Linked DNA regions of Arabidopsis thaliana. The protein of the gene in region 2 interacts with the protein of the main gene of each other region in a pairwise test. Each region holds a gene or a part of one and is shown on either strand. Other genes may lie near its edges. The genes, in order: AT3G50650, AT4G36590, PHE1 and AGL90.

Region 1 (6,202 bases), on a different chromosome or scaffold from region 2:
ACCGTTAAAGTCTATACTGTTAAAATTTTTAAAGTCAAAATTTTTATAATCAAAGTTTTTACCGTCAAAGTTCCTACAGCGAAAGTCTCTACAACCAAAATTAACAGTCGTTACCAATCGGCCCTAAAGATAGATAATGATATCTTACCGCTGAAATCTTCTCCCTCGTAATACATGGTTTTGACGGATTGATCGAGACAATTAGAGAGTGATAAAAAAAAATCTGTGGTTGAGTTAGGGTTTAAATACGTAATCAGGTGACACGTTAAATTATCTAATTGTACTTTACCAAAAATTATATAATTGTAATTAATTAAAATGCCAAGAAAAAAGAAAAAAAAAAACAGTGCAGATAGACATATGGTTGATTAACACACTGTATTATCCATTTATTTACAGTGAAATAAAATATGATTAAATAAAACAAAAACAGAAGCCTCCAAATATTTGGAGGCTGATTACGCCAACTAGTCCCCGTGTTCCTCGATTAGGTCGGCCCATCATATTGTTGGATAATTACGGCCCATAAAGTTTTTACTTGATCTGAAATCATCCAAATGAGAAGATTTAGATAATTCATAAATTATATTGATGTTCAATTGTTCATCATACTGCTCTTTTGTTAACAACAATATGGCTTTGAATTTGATTGATTGTCTCTAATTTTGCAGATATTGGAAAGACGAAATGGTTCGATATTTTGAAGTATAGGTTTATTCACATGAACACCCTCGGTGATGAAATCGAGACTTACCAACCAAAAGCCCTTGTTTATTGATTTTCGTGGTTTGGCCCGCAAGTATTTTTTTTCTTTTCTGGTTAGCCGAATAATATTCAGAAAACGAGGAAAAGCATTGAGATTTTTTTGTTTTAACTAACTAAAATTTGGATGAGAAAGTGAGTTAGCTGGTCAATAAAAGGTACAAAAGTTTAGTGTTTGGACAGGCCACTTGTCATTTGAAAAGTCTCTTTCTGTTTTGTATGAGATAATCGTCACCAAATATATATTTTTCTTACTGACTTAATAATTTCTGTTTAACTGATTCAAATAGTAAATATATTTTGGTTAATTAAAGGTTCAAACGAAAATAAGTGTAAAAAGCTAAGGAGGAGACAAAAATAGGTAAATTTTAGTTGGTAAGAGTTGAAACTAAAAATTAGTATTTAAAAAAAAAAGCAAAGAATGTGACAAAAATGGTAAATATATAGAGAGACTTTCTTGGGGATGACTCAATGCCACTCTTTGTTCATACATAAGAAACCCCACCGATGACTTGGATAGAAAGAAAAGACAAATCAAACCCTTTCATTCTTACTCATGTCCTTTTCATACACCACTCATTCTCTCTCTCTCTCTATCTATTTTCTCCAAGTCCACTTGCAGATAGGTGCAATGGTTAAACACTAAAGTGGGATTGCCATTTTCAAAGACAAGTCCTTTTCAAAAATATCATCTTCTTCATTCTCCTTGTTGAAATCATTACCAATTTAGAACAGTCCATGGCACTTTGTAGTAAAAAATGTCAAAAGTGAAAATCAAAAGTAGACTTGGGCCAGGGACCATATACCATGTTTAGTAATGTAATTTAGATATTTAAGTTATAAGTAGTGGAGAAGTAGGCCTTTTGACGCGGATACAACGATGAAATGAAAAGAGTGATGTCTCAAAGAGTCAAGTGTCGTTCCCATGTGCTTTTTGTTCGCTATTGCTCTTTTCTATTTCATTCGCTTTAGGTTTTTAGAAATTGCAAAGTCACAAAGAGCTTCCACACTCAAACCTCAAATAAGCAAATTCTCGAACTATGCGTCGTGTATGAATGATAATTCATAAAACTTGGTTTGTTATTGAAAGACTTTTAAATTCTATAATCCTCTTTGGACTCTTTTCTTGTTTCTTCTTTGCTTGTGTTTTTTTTTTGGTATTTTTGTGTAATTTTTAGCTTTTGGCTAATGGCTACTACATTTTCTTCGTCAAAGTTCGTCCACCAACAACAGATACTAGTAGAGCCCGCCACAAATCGCTTTTGCTCCATTGTATATGGGCCTACTTACGGACCCACAAGCCGTCCTCCACAACACTAACGTTGAGATAAAAAAGACATGCGTATACAAATAAAACATGTCTATTGTTTAATTTTTGCTTGCTCAAGTCATATTCAAGATGTTAGCTTAACTTGTCGAAAGGTTTTTTTACAAAAGTAACTGAAACTAAACCAATGAAGTCACTGAAATTTGTTAACCAAAGTCCAATTTAACGACCCTTTTAGTTGATAAGAAACAGCTTTGAAAAACCTTGACCTTTGCGGCTTGAAAGCAGAAGATAATAACCTAATTCTTTTTACTTTTCTTACATCAATCTTTTTACCTTTATAATACTGTTAGTTAAAATGAAAAAAGACAGAAAAGTTGCAGGCGACATGCAGGTGACAAGTAGCAGAAGACAGTTGTCGACGTGTCACATTCACCATTTCAGCCAAAGCCATTGATCTGATTCTAGACGGTGGAGATGAGGTCACACTCTTCGATACGTAACTGCCGATACATGACGTCATCGTGTCTGTGGGTCCCATAAGTGAGATATCGTTTTACTCTCTCTTTTTTTTCATAACGTCAACTCTTTTTTTTACCCATATTAACAGAGTGGTAATAATTATTTAACAAAAAAAAACCTATGTATTTTTTATTTTTTGGTCAAAAGGTTTCTGAATAAATTTGTAAGATTATACGAAACTACAAATTCATGAGATATAGAAATTATTCAATTGATATTTTGATAAATTACATTTCTATTATTAAATTCTTGAAAATAATTAAATACAAAACTGAGTTTTTTAGTAAACTATGTTAGTTAGTTTCTTCATTTTTTGTTGTTGTTGTTGGTTTTATAGTTTCTTCATTTCTTGCAGTTAATAACGTAATTTTGTACTTTTAAACTAAAGTGGTAATTGATTAAAAATACAGTACTCGAAAATGATAAATCGGATGACAAAAAAAAAGAAAATGATAAATCAAAATGAAAATACTCACTTTCTTACTTTTTTCTTCCTACTAAAATCTCTCCGGTTTCATTCATATCCCTCTCTCTCTCTGGGCCTTACTCAATCACCACCAAATAACAGACAAAAAAACGCCTTCATCGCCGGCGAAAGTGAGTCGGAGAATGGCGTATATGTGCACCGACAGCGGAAACTTAATGGCTATAGCACAACAACTCATCAAACAGAAGCAGCAACAACAATCACAACATCAACAACAAGAAGAACAAGAACAAGAACCCAACCCCTGGCCCAATCCATCCTTCGGGTTTACTCTTCCCGGTTCGGGTTTCTCCGACCCGTTTCAAGTAACCAACGACCCAGGTTTTCACTTTCCACACCTGGAGCATCATCAAAACGCAGCCGTCGCTTCCGAGGAGTTTGACTCCGACGAGTGGATGGAGAGTTTGATCAACGGTGGAGATGCGTCACAAACCAATCCAGACTTCCCAATCTACGGCCATGATCCATTCGTCTCATTCCCGAGTCGACTCAGTGCTCCTTCATATCTCAACCGAGTCAACAAAGATGACTCAGCGAGTCAACAACTCCCTCCGCCACCAGCTTCCACCGCTATATGGTCTCCATCTCCGCCATCACCACAACATCCTCCTCCTCCCCCGCCGCAGCCGGATTTTGATCTAAACCAGCCGATTTTTAAAGCTATCCACGATTATGCACGTAAACCGGAAACTAAACCGGACACACTAATTCGGATCAAAGAATCCGTGTCCGAATCAGGCGACCCGATACAACGAGTCGGGTATTACTTCGCAGAAGCTCTGTCTCATAAAGAAACAGAGTCTCCGTCGTCATCGTCGTCGTCATCCCTAGAAGATTTCATTCTCTCATACAAAACCTTAAACGACGCATGTCCATATTCAAAGTTCGCTCATTTAACAGCGAATCAAGCAATTCTCGAAGCTACGAATCAATCAAACAACATTCACATAGTCGATTTCGGGATTTTTCAAGGTATTCAATGGTCTGCTCTGTTACAAGCTTTAGCGACCCGTTCTTCTGGTAAACCCACCCGGATCCGGATTTCGGGTATACCCGCTCCGTCTCTAGGAGACTCACCGGGACCGTCTCTGATCGCTACGGGAAACCGTCTCCGTGATTTCGCGGCGATTTTGGATCTCAATTTCGAGTTTTATCCGGTTCTGACTCCGATTCAATTACTAAACGGGTCAAGTTTTCGGGTTGACCCGGATGAGGTTTTGGTTGTGAATTTTATGCTTGAGCTTTATAAGCTTCTAGATGAAACAGCGACGACTGTTGGTACGGCGCTCCGGTTAGCTAGATCGTTAAACCCGAGGATTGTGACGCTTGGAGAATACGAAGTCAGTTTAAACCGGGTTGAATTTGCTAACCGGGTTAAGAACTCTCTCCGGTTTTATTCCGCGGTTTTTGAATCGCTTGAACCGAATTTGGATCGAGATTCGAAAGAAAGGCTGAGAGTGGAGAGAGTGTTGTTCGGTAGGAGGATTATGGATTTGGTCCGATCAGATGATGATAATAATAAACCGGGAACCCGGTTTGGGTTAATGGAGGAGAAAGAACAATGGAGAGTGTTGATGGAGAAAGCTGGATTTGAGCCGGTTAAACCGAGTAATTACGCGGTTAGCCAAGCGAAGCTGCTACTATGGAACTACAATTATAGTACATTGTATTCACTTGTTGAATCGGAGCCAGGTTTCATCTCCTTGGCTTGGAACAATGTGCCTCTCCTCACCGTTTCCTCTTGGCGTTGACTACTTGGTCCGATAAGTTAATCTAGTATTTTGAGTTAGCTTTTAGAATTGAATTGTTTGGGGTTAGATTTGGATGTTTAATTAGTCTCTAGCCTATTCTCTTACTCTTTTTTATCTAGTGCTTGGAGTGATGATGGTTTGTCGTTTATGTTCATTTGTAATATATATTGTATGTAACATTTGACTAGATTTCTTTGGTATAAACGAAAGAAGCTAAACCAAATTCATGTGAATGAAAAAAACACTAGAATTAACCCCTGAAATTGAGGAAAGGAGGTGATGAAGTTTGATTTTGAAATGAGAGTATTATGGTCCCATAAAAGAGACTGAAATTTGAATTGCACTAAGATCTTTCACTAACACACCATTTCTTCTCCCTTTTCATCATTTTGTCTCCACTTTTTCTTGCCTAATATAGTTTTGTTTACTTCATGAAAATTATATACCAATGTTTTCTGTACCATTCACTGAATAATAAAATAGGAGCATAATTATTTGTCAGTGAAGTAAAAGCCAAAAATACGAAGGCGCACTGACAAGTATTTCAATCTTTCTGTGTCAGTCTTGTTTCTCTTTGTTCGAACTTCAAACGTGCCACTATGACGTCAACTCTCGAATTTCTTCTTCAGTGGTCTTTTGGTCCCCATTTCCTATATCTCTCAGCCACTACTCTGACTCTGTCTGTGAGTCTGATAGTAAATTTTACTTCCCTAACGAAGATAAAAGCCCACTCTGTTTATGCTTGGCCCAAAATAAACAGGCCTAATCTCTGTCCCATTCCTTTATTTATATTAGCCACAAACAAAAACAATACATAGAAGTATTTTGCAAATAACCCAACCAAGTCTTGACTCTTCACAGCTAATTGCTTACAATTTGCCAGCTTGATTTTTCATTTTTTAGAAAATCATGGTTAGGAATCCAACATCTATAAGTGTGATGATACCTGAAATAAAAATTAAAAAAAAAATGATCTAATCCACTCATTTTAAGTGCTTTTGAATTAGAAATCGAAAATGATATAGACTATAAAGTAATATATAGATCAATCCATTTATAACTAATTGATTTTGAGTTAGAAACTTCTAAACTTCACATACATCATAAAATTAAAAGTAAATCGTTTCATTTACAAATAACTAAAGTATTGGTGGAAACTAACACCTTTGGATATCGAGCAGACTATGTATGATATGAAATTCAACTTAGACGATGAAATTGCAAGCCATGAAATAATGTTTACCGGTTTCTCTAAGAAAAAAGGTTCAAGCAATGATGCGTTGATATTTTCCTATAATGAGATGAAACTGTTTTTTTGACCAATCATTCATGAGCGGAGTCGCATCACGACGACGTGTGGGATAAACAATGTTCAATGGAACTTCCAAGCACATGATTGACAACCTTGGTCCT
Region 2 (5,348 bases):
TGCGGTTTCTCTAACATCGTGAGCTTTATCCGATGCAATGTCTTTAGCATTCTTAGATCCTTCTTTGAATCTTTCGTATGTTCCATACGCACTATCTTTAGCTTCACCACTCGTATCCGTAGCCATCTTAATCACATCCTCTGCTTTGTTATAGGCAGCGTCTTTTGCGTGAGCTGCCTTGTCATAGGCAAAGTCTTTGGCTTGACCAGCCTTCTCAGATGCTGATCCTGCTTTGTCGTAGGCCATGTCCTTGGCTTGACCCGCCTTGTCGTAGGCTGATCCCACCTTGTCGTAGGCCATGTCTTTAGCTTGACCCGCCTTGTCGTAGGCCATGTCCTTGGCTTGACCGGCCTTTTCGTAGGCTGATCCTGCTTTGTCGTAAGCCATGTACTTGGCTTGACCGGTCTTATCGTAGGCCATGTCTTTTGCATCACCAGCCTTATCATAAGCATAATGTTTTGCGTTATGAGCACTATCGTAAGCAGATCCGGCTTTGTCTGATGCAAAGTCCTTGGCGTAACCCGCATTGTCATAGGCGGATCCAGCCTTGTCATAAGCGTAGTTCTTCGCAGATTCAGCCGCTTCTTCTGCCTCAGCTTTCTTGCCTCCCAATCCTCTGTTACAATATTGGATCAATCATCTATATATTATCATTCTTAAATCACTTCACAGTTTGAAATGCAAATGATGCGTAACATGCGTTTATATATATACATTTCAAATTTCTCTTAAAACAAAACTCAGATCTACGTTTACAATTTGAAATCAAACACTATGAGAAGATGGTTCCATTAGAAGAAACCAACACAGATCCAAAATAGAAGTATGATCATGCCTAAACAAAAGTTAACGCTTACGTGGAAATTTTGTCGGAAACCCAACCAGCCCAAGAGGCGGTTTTGTCCTTTGTGTCATGAGCCGCATCGGACGCCATTTTCTTAGCGGTCTCGGCTGCGTTTTTAGCATGCTCTGCTTCGTTTCTAACCATATCCTCTGCTGTCTCCGTTCCCCATCCATAGCATTGCTTCTGCCACGTCAGCGTCACCACCGTCGTAAGCATCATAATCATCATCAACGTTCTTCTCTCCATTATTCCTATTCTTTAAAATTCCGATTTTTTGTTTTGTTTCTTGGTTCCAATCTTCATGGAGGAAGTTTCTAGTTATAGATGAGCGAGAGAGGGAGAGATCACATTCCTTTCTTTCACTAGATAAGCGGTTATTGTAAGACACGTGGTTATTCGATGATTACGTGGTTATTCGATGTTTACGTGGCAATTAAAGAGGCGGTTATGCTGGAAGTGCTTGCGACGTGTCCACTTGTGGTTCGATTTTGTAGGGTTAGTGTCTCCCGACCCGAGGTCACGTGGCCGGTCGCGTAGAGGAAGTTTCAATACTTGGAAAGATTAAAATAACCGGTTTAGAAAACCGAAGCCATGCGCTTAGCAGGGTTACAAACCGGATAATCCAGTAAAAAGGTAAATCAGAAAGTGTTTATTTTTTTACCTTTCTTAGTTAATCCAATGTTTTTTTTTTGTCATCTCATTTTTAAAGAAAACTGTTTTTTTTTTGGTTCAACCAAGAAAATTGATTTAAACCATAAAAAAACAAAACTAAGCCCAACAAGAAACCCAGCATGAGCCCAACCGAAAGTGAGAGAGGTGAAGAAGACACCAATTTTAAACGTTTTGACGATACAATTACAAAGTTTTCTAATAAGATAAGTCAGATAGTGTAAACTTTCACAAAAAATCAATTATATAAAATAATTTAAAATATTTATAAGAATCAATAATGATTATTGTAATATTCAAACATTTTATTTAAGAACAAAGATAGTTAAAAATCAACAATATTTGAGTATAAATCATTTTATTTATATCTTAGAAATGTTAATTTCAATAAACATAACTCACTATCATTATGAAAAATATATCTAGTAAATGGTATATATCTAAATTAAAAAAATTTGGGCCCATAACTCAAAATCTTTTGAATTTCATTTAATAATTTTTTTTATTATGTAAAGTACAACTGTATATTTTATCTAGTAATGATTGTGATATCTCAAAAATAGATAAATTTTGTTTTACTGTATAAATATTACTTGCATTAGCTGTATACAAACAAATAATTTAATGGATAATTTTGTTCAAGATTTTTCCCAAAAATATAGATTAAGTATTTTAACAAACAGCTCATAAAATTTTAATGTGCCTCTCATGGGCAGTTGGTGCATACATTTGTCAAACTGTTATGCATTTACCAACTAATATAATGATATTGCATTTGAAATATCATGAATTTTATATCCTTAAGAAATTTTAGAGATAATTATGTCCTTAAGAAATTTCAGAGATAATTATGAAATATTCCTCAAATTGGAAAATTAATTTTTTGGCAAAATTAAGGGTTGAAGGATTATGTTTACTTATAATGGACCTATAATGTATTACATTTCCATATGTAATACACCTGTATAAATATAAAGAACATATTTTATTTCTTAGCATCAAATTTGTCATTTGTTTATTCAAATTTTTGAGAAAATGGTGAGAAGTACCAAAGGTCGTCAGAAAATAGAGATGAAAAAAATGGAAAACGAAAGCAACCTTCAGGTTACTTTCTCAAAAAGAAGATTCGGTCTTTTCAAAAAAGCTAGTGAACTTTGCACATTAAGTGGTGCAGAGATTCTGTTGATTGTGTTCTCTCCTGGTGGGAAAGTGTTTTCTTTTGGCCATCCAAGTGTTCAAGAACTCATTCATCGCTTTTCGAATCCTAACCATAATTCTGCCATTGTCCATCATCAGAACAACAATCTCCAACTTGTTGAAACCCGTCCGGATAGAAATATCCAATATCTCAACAATATACTCACTGAGGTAAACAATTTTGTTTTAAAGAAAAATGCAAGAGAATTATATATATATATATATATATATATATATATATATATATATATATATATATATATATATATGCCAATTCTATGTCTATAACTTAATTTGTTAAGGGAAAAAGAGACCATCAATAGTTAGATTGTTTTCAAATCGTATCCATAGTTAGATTGTTAAAGATATCAAATGGTATCCATAGTTAGATTGTTTTCTTCAAAATGTTCAAATATATAAACCATATCTCGTTTTTTTCACAACATGATGAAATGAATCTCATTGCAGGTGCTGGCAAACCAGGAAAAGGAGAAACAGAAGAGAATGGTTTTGGACCTATTGAAAGAATCCAGAGAACAAGTAGGAAACTGGTATGAAAAAGATGTGAAAGATCTCGACATGAATGAAACCAACCAGCTGATATCTGCTCTTCAAGATGTGAAAAAGAAACTGGTAAGAGAAATGTCTCAATATTCTCAAGTAAATGTTTCGCAGAATTACTTTGGTCAAAGTTCTGGCGTGATTGGTGGTGGTAATGTTGGCATTGATCTTTTTGATCAAAGAAGAAATGCATTCAACTATAATCCAAACATGGTGTTTCCCAATCATACACCACCAATGTTTGGATACAACAATGATGGAGTTCTCGTTCCGATATCCAACATGAACTACATGTCAAGTTACAACTTCAACCAGAGCTAGAGTCTGAAGCTAGAAGAACATCCTAATCAATATTTGCGTTATTTTGGCTATGGTTACTGTTAGGATTGTTCTTGTATTGTGAGACTTAAGTTTGTTTTTTCTTTTAATTTGTTTCAGTTGGTTGGTTTTTCATTTTATTCGTCGTTTGTTTTCCTTTGTTTTTGGATATTTTTGTATCCAGAATAAATTTATTTATCCTTTAATTTTACTTATATTTTTATTTTTATTTTGCTATTTAAGCTTAATGTTATATACTGAAATCAAACCAGATTTACAAATGAACAAAACAATTTTTTAAGAAACCCTCATCAGACAGAAATGAATCTAATGTTAACAACGAGAAGTGTTCATATGTAAGACTTCAAGATTCTGTAAAACTCTTTAACATGTTTAATCTAAAAATTCAATTTTAGGACTCATTTTAAAACAATCAGATTCTTCTTTCTGATCAAGTAAATGACATGTATAATCAAAATCCAAATGACTAAGAGAAGAGTAATGGCTGAAAACCTTCAGAAGCAAGCATATGCCTTCGGTGATGTTCTTCAACCTTATATTCAACAATCTCTTTAAAAAGCTGTGAATCCAAAACACAATCCGCTCGTCCGTACACTCCAGCTTGTACTCCAGCCACAAGCTTTGCAATCTCACGGCCAGAGAATCCTTCTGTCTTCTTTGCAGCCTCAGAAATCACTTTATCAGTTAAGTCTTCTTCAACGGTAATCTTCTGTGACAGCTTCTTAAACAAATGACTCCATTTCGGTTTTGTGTCTTCGTTGTTATCACCCATCTTTAGATATTTGTTGAGATAGAGATTGAGAAGCTTGAAACGTTCTTCTTCCCCTGGAAGTGGGAACTCAATGACTTCATCAATCCTGTCTGTAACCGCACTATCGAGATCTCCACGTCTGTTTGTAGCCAAGACAAGAACAATGTCCCGAGATTGATCACCAGTTCGGAAGAGCAAAGCGTTCAGAGCACTACGTTGAGCCTCACTCATGTAAGTGCTGTTACGCCTGCAAAGAAAAAGGAATCATCTTTCTTGAAACCAAGAGAAAAAGTTGCAATCTTTTTGTCATATTACTGTCAAAAACCTAAAACGCTAAAACATCCACTAATCCTTGTAAAGAAGAGAAGGAGATCTTACTCGCATAGAAAAGCATCGGCTTCATCAATGAAAAGAAGTAAGCCTTTGTTCGATTTCTTAGCCCAATCAAATATCTGATGGATTTTAGTAACAGCTTGTGATCCCAAGGGAGCAACATCACCTCCTGTCATCATAGCATAATCCAGACCCTGCAACAAATAATTGTATCTAAGAACTCATGAAGACGGTACTAACAAAGCTACTACCATAGTTTTGATAATAACTCACCGATTTCCGAGCTATTTCCCTTGCCACCATAGTTTTACCGGTACCAGGAGGTCCATAAAACATCATGTTGCGGAATGGTGCTTGATGGGATTTGGTGTTTGCTGTAGCTCTAGCGAGACGCTCGATTCGTTTCTTCAAAGAAGTATGGAGAATTACATTATCAAGCGGCTTTTTGCCTTCTGCTGCAGAAGCTGCTGCAGCCCCTGAGATCCTGTTCTTAAATTGAGACACTGAGCCTGTCCATGGAAATCTACGCATGGAAGATTCTCGAATAAGTGACGGTTGTCCAAGCATCCTATTAATATAACCCCATGTAACTCTAGCTCCTTCACTGTCAAACACAAAAAGATTCATGAAATAGATTACATTAGAAAATGATAA
Region 3 (5,081 bases), on a different chromosome or scaffold from region 2:
AATAAAATATCAAATTTCTAATAACGTTCTCCATGATTTTATATTAGAAATGAAATGACTAATATCGAGAAGCTTCGATTTACAGTCTTATACATTACTCAGACTTACTACATATCTTAGACCATCAATGTTAAGTTACGTTTGGAGTCTCTTGAGATAACGGAGACCTTAAAAGAGTATGATACTTCGATGGCCCAAGAAAAAGTAAAATCGAATCTTCCTTAAAAGACAATTCGATAAAAGTGTATTATATGACTATGCACACATGCGAGATCTTAAAGAACTTTGGAAATCCTTAAAAGATCCTTTTGATCACCAACGAGATATCACCCTCCCACTTGCTTGGGATGAATGGCAAAGTCTAACGTTCCAAAACTTTGACAAAGTAATAAATTACAATTCTATCATGTTGGGATAAAAAAGCATTCCATGAAATTAATGCATTCGATGTTAAAAACTCAGTGATGAAAAACAAAGTTTTTCGAAAACGATAGATATTATTTATCAAGAATCTTTTTCCGTTGGATAAAATAGATAATACAAGCACACAAATTTATCAAAATTTGCGATCACGCAAATTCTTGTTGGACTAGAATTTAGGTGTCATAAATAAACTTAACTATATTTGCGAGTCTTTTGATCCAAAAATCTTGTACAACGTGTCTCAATTCTGAAACAACAAAGCAGGGGAAGTGTGGAAACAATGTGAAAGAAGAGATTTTTAAGATTCCTTAATTTCTTTTATGGCCGTATCTTGCTAGGTTTTCTACTATTCTATGTTTTTTTCCACAAGCGTGCCAATATGTTGAAAGAAGCGTGTATTCCTAAAAAGGAATGAGGGCTTCATTTCCAACGTATTCATGTGTCACGGTTGTTTAGCTTAAGCTTAATTTGGAAACTACTAACTTCGTGGGGGTTTATTATGGGCGGTTCCGACAATATATTATCTGTTAGGATGGTAAGGATTCTACTCTAGGTTCCAAAACGTGGCAGAAGCTACTGAAGTTAAAACCAATTACGGCTGAGTATGTACATCAGGAGATCCACAATGGTCAGCACTATATATGTACTTTTGTCTTCGATTTTTTTATTCCCATGGGACGTCTTCTCGACTCATAGATGAGGTATGCATTAGAAAATTATGTGTGCCAAAGTATGCAAAGGTCTCACAAGTGGTCACCTAAACTACGTAGTTGAGAATTTGCTAGAAACATCTTGAAATAGCATGGTACACAAAATTGAAATCCTTTCTTTTTTGTGATCAACATTTGAATCCAACAAAAATATGGCAATAACATTCATAATCATTTTAGTTCAAATATAAGTAAGACGAAAACATGACATAGCCATAGCATATATATAGGCAAAACAAAGAAAGTTGACTTAATCAAAGCTATTTTAGATATTATAGGGTTTTTAATGACATCATATCTAAAGATTTGTTTCTTCTAAAGATACTGAAAACTCTTTATTTTGTAATGATTAAAATTATTCAAATTGAACTAAACCTTTTCAGGCAAATACATCAACGGAAATGAACTTAAAGGCAAAACCTTTAACTGTAGTACAATAATAAAAAAAAACATCACATAAATTTTATTTTCTGAAATGGAAAAATCAAAAGATGCAGATGATCAACCACTTCACTCGAAATACATCCCTTCGACTAGAGATCATTGATGATGTTAGGAGCACAAACATCAGTGGGGGCAGTGGTGACGGTAGCGAGACAATCGATTTCGGGGTGGTAGTTGTTGTTGTCCATGCAAGGAATGCCCTCGTCCTCTCCATCATTAAGATCCAAATTCATACTCTGATTTGGATCTATATTCATTTTCATGTTAAAATCATGAAGTTTCTTTGGAATCTGATCATAAAAATCATAAAGAGCCTGGTATTGGAATTGAACCGGCTCTTGCTGATTTTGGTTTTGATCTTGAATCATACGACCATCAAAACCGATTGGGACAGATGCATCCACAACAGTAGGAGCTACACCAATAGGAGGAGGTACAGATGAAGAAGACTCACCGTTCTCCTTAAGGATCTCAACCCTACGAATAACACCATTGAGATACTTGTTAAGAAATACATTCAAATCAAGAAGATCTCTTCCATGAAGATGAGACACGTCCACCTCTCCTTTGAGACAACCAAACATTAAATCTCGAATCTGAGAATTACGGTTCTCATCACGTAGCTTCTGGAGACGTTCTGTTTCTTTGGCGATCCTTTGACGTAAAAACGTCTCTTGATCCACCATCTTCTTGGTCCGGTCCAACACCGAAAACTCCATAAACTTCGACATCACTTCTTCAACGCCTTCCCTTGATGGCCAAGGCTCCTGGATCGAGTTGTACGGGCTACGGATGACCGCACATGCGTCAACACCACATAGAGTTACTAGCTCGTTGAATTTCTTCAGCATCCCTTTCTTCCTTTTGGTGAATGTTGTTTTCCTCACTGAATCATTTTCTATGAACGATAACTTCATCTTCCCCCTCATATCTCTTATCTTTTTCTTTTGTGTATTTTGCTTTGTCTTGTTAGCATGAGGAGGATGGTTTATATAGTCAATTTTCGAGTCAATAGATTTTTTATTGCTTTGCTGGATATGATTAATTGATTTTTTATTTTACTAATTTTTCAGGATTTGTATTAGTTTCACCCTTACGTGTAGGCATGTGATTGATGGTAAAGTGATAATCATTTATCTTTAGAGACAGCCCATATAGATATTTTACCTTTTGGGGGGCATATATAAAAACAAGATATATAGGAAAACAGTTGTATCACATATCTAATGAGATTTATACTTTATTTAGGAAGTCCATTGAAAGGAAAACAAATTACATCAAAGGTAATTTAAGATATTTCTTCAATCTCTAAATTTTTTCTATATGTTAATAGTTTATATAAACATAATTAATAAATAATTTAAAATACATGTAATATCAGTTGGATAGAAAGTAATGTTATGGCTAAACAGTGAAAGTAATGTTATTTTATTTTTTTTGTTTCGTTAAGACACATGCTATTATGTGTGTTATCGATTTTGGGTGTTATAACTGTGGGGAAGGGTCCAATAATACAAACCATAGCTGCCAAAAAAAATATTAGTAACTAAACATCAGATTCTAAAGACCACAAAATGTGAGCACATGCTATTGTAAAACCGTGATGTTATTATGAAATAGAGACTCTTATAAGGCAAATGACTGATACAAATTAAAGACGTGTTTGCAAAATAAGTCTAAGCATGAGTAAACATGCATGTTTTATTGAAATCTTTAACAGCAAAAAAAATACAAAAACTATCACTAGATCCTAGTGATATTAACTTTGAGACCATGTTGCATACGAAAAAGAACAGAAGGAACTGGTTCGGTTTTGTGCCCTTCAACGACCTTGATGTCATAGTTTCGTATGATTTCCGCAGCCACTGTCTTCATCTGTAAGAACGTTAACTTTTTCCCCAAGCAAGCTCTTGGACCGGCGTTAAACGCCAAGAACTTATATGAAGGTTCATGTTTTAACCTTCCACTGTCTGAAATCCATCTCTCTGGTCTGAAATCTTCTGCGTCATCTCCCCAAACAGATTTCATCCTCCCTAATGCATACATAGATATGACAATCTTCCATTTCTCATCTACTCTATGCCCACTTGGAAGTACGTCTGGCTTTGCCGGTGACTTGTGGTTAAATGGAACTGGTGGGTATAACCTTAGCGTCTCACACACGGCACCGTGTAGATACACGAGCTTTTCTAAATCTGCGGGATCAAACCTCGGCATCTTCTTGTTAACCTCTTGTCGGATCTTGTTTATTGCCTCAGGGTTCTTGGACATAAGCCAGAAGAACCAAGTGAGTGCTGAACTTGTTGTATCTCTTGCCGCTATCAAGAAACCCAAAATAGTGTCTTTGATGAATCTATCATCACTTGGTTCCAAGTACTTATATTTGGTCGTGTCCATAGTCATGTAGTATGTCAACACGTCTATGGCCTCTCCTCTTGAGGGATGATGAGTCCCATGACTATTGATCTCCTCTCGTTTAGCCGTTATGATCTTCTCGAGTAGTTGATCGAATACCGCTAGACCTCTTTTCAATCTTTTCTCTACTCCTACACCAATCAAATATTGGAGCCTCCACAAGAAAACCGGCTTAACATGTCTATAGAAAACCCCGTCAGAAACACCATCGACCGCGTCACCGAACTCAACCTTAGGCATTTCAACGGATAAACATTTTGGATCATACCCGGTCATCAAAATCAAAGATGTATCAAACAAGAATCTCTGGAACAAATCTTGCAAGTCGACAAGGATATTTTTATCAGCTGCGTTTTCAAGAATAGGAACAAGCCCTTGCCTTAATTTTCTTACACTTGTACTCACCCAGAACATTTGGAAATCTTGATTACTAAAAATGGCATGAGACGAGTTCCTCATATCCTCCCACAAACCCGAGTCAACGTTGAAAATTGAATCACCCACGACTTCGAAGATCTTCTTGAACTCCATTCCTTTGGGGTAGTTAGCAAAATTTGAGCTTAGAATGTAGTGGATATTCACCGGATCAACAGTAAGCAAGATGTCCATTCCGCTAAGACATGGACCTTTGAAACAAAACGTCATATCTGTCGCCTCAAGAACCTCGGTGATCCAGTCGTAGATACGAGGCACTTGGAGGAGTAGACCCGGAAGCATCCCAAGGGCCGGCCAGTTCGTGAGCAAAGGCTTGGGAGTTTTCTTGTGGAGTAATAAACATTGGAAGAAAATGAAGAAAACAAATGCTGTGAAGATTTCAAGTAAACCTATGACTATCGCCATTATAGTAACAAAATGTTTATTCAAGAAATCTTTTTTTTCTTTTGGTCAAGAAATGTTTTGTCTTGTTAGTGAGTATATGAACTCCCTTACGATATCATATACGAAATGAAATGAATAAACACATGCATTCTATTTCGATCCGTTGCATTGGGATGTGTAACGACATTAAATCATATTATCCGTTAAAACTTTTTTTTCCAATTTTATGTATAGTGTATGCGCAGAGGCGGAACCATATTTTGTAATAAA
Region 4 (4,898 bases), on a different chromosome or scaffold from region 2:
TTTCAATTTGACATTTACATAAATCTCTTTTGAAGCAGATAACAAACCTCTACCAAAACTTTTCTACAAGCTAAGATATTATATTATTGAAATTGTATGTTTTTATCTTGATAACTAATAAAAGCAGTCTAAAATTCTTAAATGTGGGTTCCAAAGCTATAATTGGATCATATTTTCTTACCAATTCTCTCATGTCTACATAAAGCTATTTATTTTAGGGATATAAATAAGATAAAAAAATATGGTAATGCCAGCTAAATTACTCTTCATTATTAGCTGGTAAAATTTATTTCTAAAAGTGCAATAAAAAATATATAATATCTGGTCAATGCCCCAAAAGGTATAATATCCACATGATTTTATAAATTATAATTTTATATCCAATCATGTTTATACATGTGTACCTGCATTAATATCCATTTGAATGTAAAAAATAATAAAAAAAGCAAAAATCATATTACTGTATTAAACTCTTGATTTTACCCAAATTATGCATATATTTTCTAAATGTAAATAATTTTCATAAATAATTTTTTTATATGTCATTATTAATAAATAAATAAATAAATACATGTAGTCATATTAATGTATTAAACTCTTGATTTTATCCTTATATGTAGTCCATTTTTAAAAATACTCATTCTCTTGAGCAAAAATACCAAATTACTCTCATCTAATGAGAACAAGTAATTTATAAACTGAAATTTTCCCGCTAAAAGTTTTTTTTCCCGCCAAAGTTTTTTCTCTGTAACAAATTTTTTTCCAGCTAAAAACATGCATTTAAAAATCCTTATAAAGTGTTTTAAAAGCTTTGTAAATTTGTTAAAAACCCTTGTGAATCATTTTAAAACCTATTAAAATCTTTATAAAGTTTTTAAATATATATGTAAATACTTAAAAACCCATTTTAAAACCTTTGTTTTACATTTTAAAACCTTTTACAATGATTTTAAAAGATTTACAAGAATTTTTAAAGGATTTAAAAGGATTTTAAAAACATTTGTAAATCTTTTAAAAACCCTTGTAAATCCTTTAAAACCCTTGTAAACAATTTAAAAATCTTTTAAAACCCCTTAATAAATTTTGAACCATTTTAAAACTCTTATGAACCTCTTACAAAATATTTTAAAAACCCTTGTAAGTCCTTTAAAACCCTTGTAAACCATTAAAAATCTTTTCAATTTCTTGTAAACCCTTTAATAATTTTTAAACCATTTTAAAATTCTTTAAAAATATTTTAAAATTCTTTTAAAAATCTTTTTTAATCTTTTAAAAACCCTTGTAAATCTTTTAAAACCTTTTTAAAATGTTTTAAAATCACTTGTAAATCTTTTAAAACCCTTTAAAAATATTTTAAAATCTTTTGTAAATCTTTTAAAAACCTTTTACACTTTATAAAAATCTCTTAAAATCCCTAATCTTTTAAAACTCTTTTACACCTTTTTTAAAAATCTTTTAAAATCCCTTGTAAATCTTTTAAAACCCTTTAAAATCTCATTTCAAAAATCTCTTAAAATCCTTTATAATTTTTTTTTGCGGAAAAAATGTTTTTAAGAAACCTTTTTGGCAGAAAAGTTTTTTTTAAAATTTTTTGGCCGGAAACTTTTGGCGGAAAATTTATTTTCAGAATATTTTTGGCGGGAAAAAATTAATATTTCATTTTTTACTTAAAACATTTTCTAAATAGGGGTAAAATGGTCATTAAAAATTAAGAGAAAGTATAAATGAAAATAACAAATAAGAAAATGCATTATTGAAAAGGATAGTGTTGAAAGGGCATTCATAACAATTATTCAAAGTTTTTGGCGTTTATGTGAGATGTTCTTTGCATATTTTCAAATTGTTTGCCCATTCTAAAAATTTATTTGTATGATTCAAAGTACATCTTTAAATTACTGTAGATAACAAACTTTCTGAAATTTACTTTAGATAACAAACTTTAGAGTAATTTCTAGCTTACCACAATTCTATATACATTGACAATATATTACTGTATTTTAAAAGTACAATCACTTAAAACTATTACAAAACTTCACATTCTAAGAACAAAGTAAGCTAGAAATTATTCTTAGTAAAAAAAAACAATGAGAGTAAGAGAAATTAATTCTTAGTATAAACAAAACTTAGAAATAAAAATATTATATTACATGCCCCCTCATATTACATGGATAGATTTTTTTCTTTTTTTTGTCATCAGATATTATTTAGGATCAGACGAGCCAAACTTTAGATAAGAAAAAATATTTTTATATAGATAATAATGAATTACCTGGTCAATTAATTGATAAGAGATTTCCTGGATGTTATTTAGAATTAATGAGTCCACCAAAGTGATAAGAATCCTAGTGACTATAAAATCATCTTTCTTTGCTATATAAACATTCTTTGAGTAAACAAATTAAACAAACCACACAAAACAAAACAAAAAAACATATTGATGGGGATGAAGAAGGTAAAGCTATCTTTGATAGCTAATGAAAGATCAAGGAAAACATCCTTCATGAAGAGGAAAAACGGGATATTCAAGAAACTCCACGAGTTGTCAACTCTATGTGGTGTCCAAGCTTGTGCTCTCATCTATAGTCCATTCATACCGGTTCCAGAGTCATGGCCGTCAAGGGAAGGTGCTAAAAAGGTAGCTTCAAAGTTTCTGGAGATGCCGCGGACAGCCCGAACCAGGAAGATGATGGATCAAGAAACCCATCTTATGGAGAGGATTACCAAAGCAAAAGAGCAACTAAAGAATTTGGCTGCTGAGAACCGAGAATTACAGGTTAGACGATTTATGTTTGATTGTGTTGAAGGCAAAATGTCCCAGTATCGTTATGATGCAAAAGACCTTCAAGATTTGCTATCTTGTATGAATCTATATCTCGATCAGCTTAACGGAAGGATCGAGTCCATTAAAGAAAACGGTGAGTCGTTGTTGTCTTCCGTCTCTCCTTTTCCTACTAGAATTGGTGTTGACGAAATTGGTGATGAGTCGTTTTCCGACTCTCCTATTCATTCTACAACTAGGGTTGTAGATACTCCTAATGCTACCAATCCTCATGTTCTTGCGGGCGATATGACTCCTTTTCTTGATGCGGACGCAAATGCGGTAACTGCTCCCAGTCGATTTTCTGATCATATTCAATATGAAAATATGAATATGAGTCAAAATCTGCATGAACCGTTTCAACACCTTGTTCCTACTAACGTTTGTGATTTTTATCAAAATCAGAATATGAATCAGGTTCAATACCAGGCTCCTAATAATCTGTTTAATCAGATTCAACGAGAATTCTACAACATAAATTTGAATCTGAATTTGAATCTGAATTCAAATCAGTATCTGAATCAACAACAATCATTCATGAATCCGATGGTGGAACAACATATGAATCATGTTGGAGGGCGTGAAAGCATTCCTTTCGTGGACAGAAACTACTACAACTACAATCAACTACCAGCCGTTGATCTTGCTTCCACCAGTTACATGCCTTCAACCACCGATGTTTATGATCCTTACATCAACAACAATCTCTAATCACAAAAGACGGAGATTTTCTAGTCTAAGTGTTCAGTTGTTTGAATTTGTGTTTTCTTCATTTCGAAAGACAAAAACTAATGTTGTTTATTAATAATGGTTGTAATGGTTAAAGGGTCTCTTTTTAACTTAATTATGTATTTTGATTATTAAGTAATGTTTTGCCCAAAAAAAAAAGATTATTGTGGGAAACTTTAACTGTGGAATTTATTTCGAAAATTTAATGTGTGATTGGTACAATATTTAGACGAAAGTTTTCATTTGAATTCTTTTAGGACCCATACGTAGAGAATAATTGTTTTCCCCAGCAATTTGAAGTAAGAAATATTATTCTTTGAATCAATTATGGATTTACCATTTTTTGGGATGGTATCTGTGGATTTTGCCCTTTTCTGAATAGTTTGTAGATTTTGCCTTTTTCACACTACGAAAATATGATTTAACATGTGTTTTATTCGTTATGTTTGGGTTTAGTCGGTTGTGCTTGTTCTTAGGATTTAATATTTTATATAAACTACGTATTTTTACCAAAAAAATCGGAAATACATACTTTTTTTAATGTTAGAAAATGGCATATCCATAAGATTTTAGTAAAAATGACAATTTCAAAAGATTTCTATGAAAAAATGGCAAAATCAACAATAATCTTTTTTTCTTTTGGAAAAAAATAATTTGATAACAAAATAAAATAAAAAAGAACTACTCTTATTCAATGTTAAAAAAATTGTTAGGCGCTAGTTAGGATTTTGATAGAAGCCTTGAGCCTATAACGATCAGTGCCTAGGTCGATTTTTTTTTAACATTGTTCCCATTCTTTTGGGCTCAAAAAAATGAGGTAGAAAATTTTTTCTTCCAAATTTTGCACCAGTTAGACCCTAAGTCATTTTTAAAAGAAAAAAAGTGTGGGTAGTTTTTAGTCTTTCAATTATAATAAAAATGTATAACTATATAGATAATATTAGAGATCTGTGTAAATCACCTAAATACTGTTTTAGGAAAAATAAAACTTTTGATAAGAAAAAAACTTGCAAAAAATACATCTACACACCATCACAACATTGATTACAGTATATATGTGTATGTGATAATATTCAGCATAAAATCTAACTGTTTTTTTAATGTCAAAACAAAATTATCATTAGTCTTTTATATAGTCTGCTCCTGCATATTGTGAAGATTTAGTTTTAAGGGTTTTCATTACATATTTGTTGGCTTGTGCAAATATTAATCATCTGGTGTTATTTTAAATTATGTTGAAAAATCGAGGGTGATAATTTGATAAAATTTTGTTTGTATTTTGTAATAAAACTGTATATATAAAGCAATCGCTTCTTCATCAAATCTACCATGAATGATTCTTTTTTTTTTC

Evidence for each region.
Region 1: the proteins of AT4G36590 (region 2) and AT3G50650 interact in a two-hybrid assay, tested with the Arabidopsis thaliana proteins (one large-scale study listed by BioGRID).
Region 3: the proteins of AT4G36590 (region 2) and PHE1 interact in a two-hybrid assay, tested with the Arabidopsis thaliana proteins (one large-scale study listed by BioGRID).
Region 4: the proteins of AT4G36590 (region 2) and AGL90 interact in a two-hybrid assay, tested with the Arabidopsis thaliana proteins (one large-scale study listed by BioGRID).

The regions. Positions count from the first base shown.
Region 1 is NC_003074.8:18,805,059-18,811,260, reverse strand, and holds AT3G50650 (GRAS family transcription factor), read left to right. Parts: upstream 1-3,017; 5' UTR 3,018-3,160; coding exon 3,161-4,789; 3' UTR 4,790-5,122; downstream 5,123-6,202. UniProt on the Arabidopsis thaliana protein: Probable transcription factor involved in plant development. Involved in environmental abiotic stress resistance. May increase the expression of stress-responsive genes. Binds DNA in vitro.
Region 2 is NC_003075.7:17,259,390-17,264,737, reverse strand, and holds AT4G36590 (MADS-box transcription factor family protein), read left to right. Parts: upstream 1-2,510; 5' UTR 2,511-2,548; coding exon 2,549-2,881; intron 2,882-3,178; coding exon 3,179-3,592; 3' UTR 3,593-3,801; downstream 3,802-5,348. Other genes in the region: AT4G36600 (Late embryogenesis abundant (LEA) protein), read right to left, coding at 1-616, 858-1,090; AT4G36580 (AAA-type ATPase family protein), read right to left, coding at 4,077-4,608, 4,740-4,888, 4,968-5,298.
Region 3 is NC_003070.9:24,264,815-24,269,895, forward strand, and holds PHE1 (MADS-box transcription factor family protein), read right to left. Parts: upstream 2,523-5,081; 5' UTR 2,507-2,522; coding exon 1,667-2,506; 3' UTR 1,443-1,666; downstream 1-1,442. Other genes in the region: CYP96A3 (cytochrome P450, family 96, subfamily A, polypeptide 3), read right to left, coding at 3,321-4,832. UniProt on the Arabidopsis thaliana protein: Probable transcription factor involved in the development of gametophytes and seeds.
Region 4 is NC_003076.8:9,990,316-9,995,213, reverse strand, and holds AGL90 (AGAMOUS-like 90), read left to right. Parts: upstream 1-2,443; coding exon 2,444-3,100; intron 3,101-3,223; coding exon 3,224-3,529; downstream 3,530-4,898. UniProt on the Arabidopsis thaliana protein: Probable transcription factor.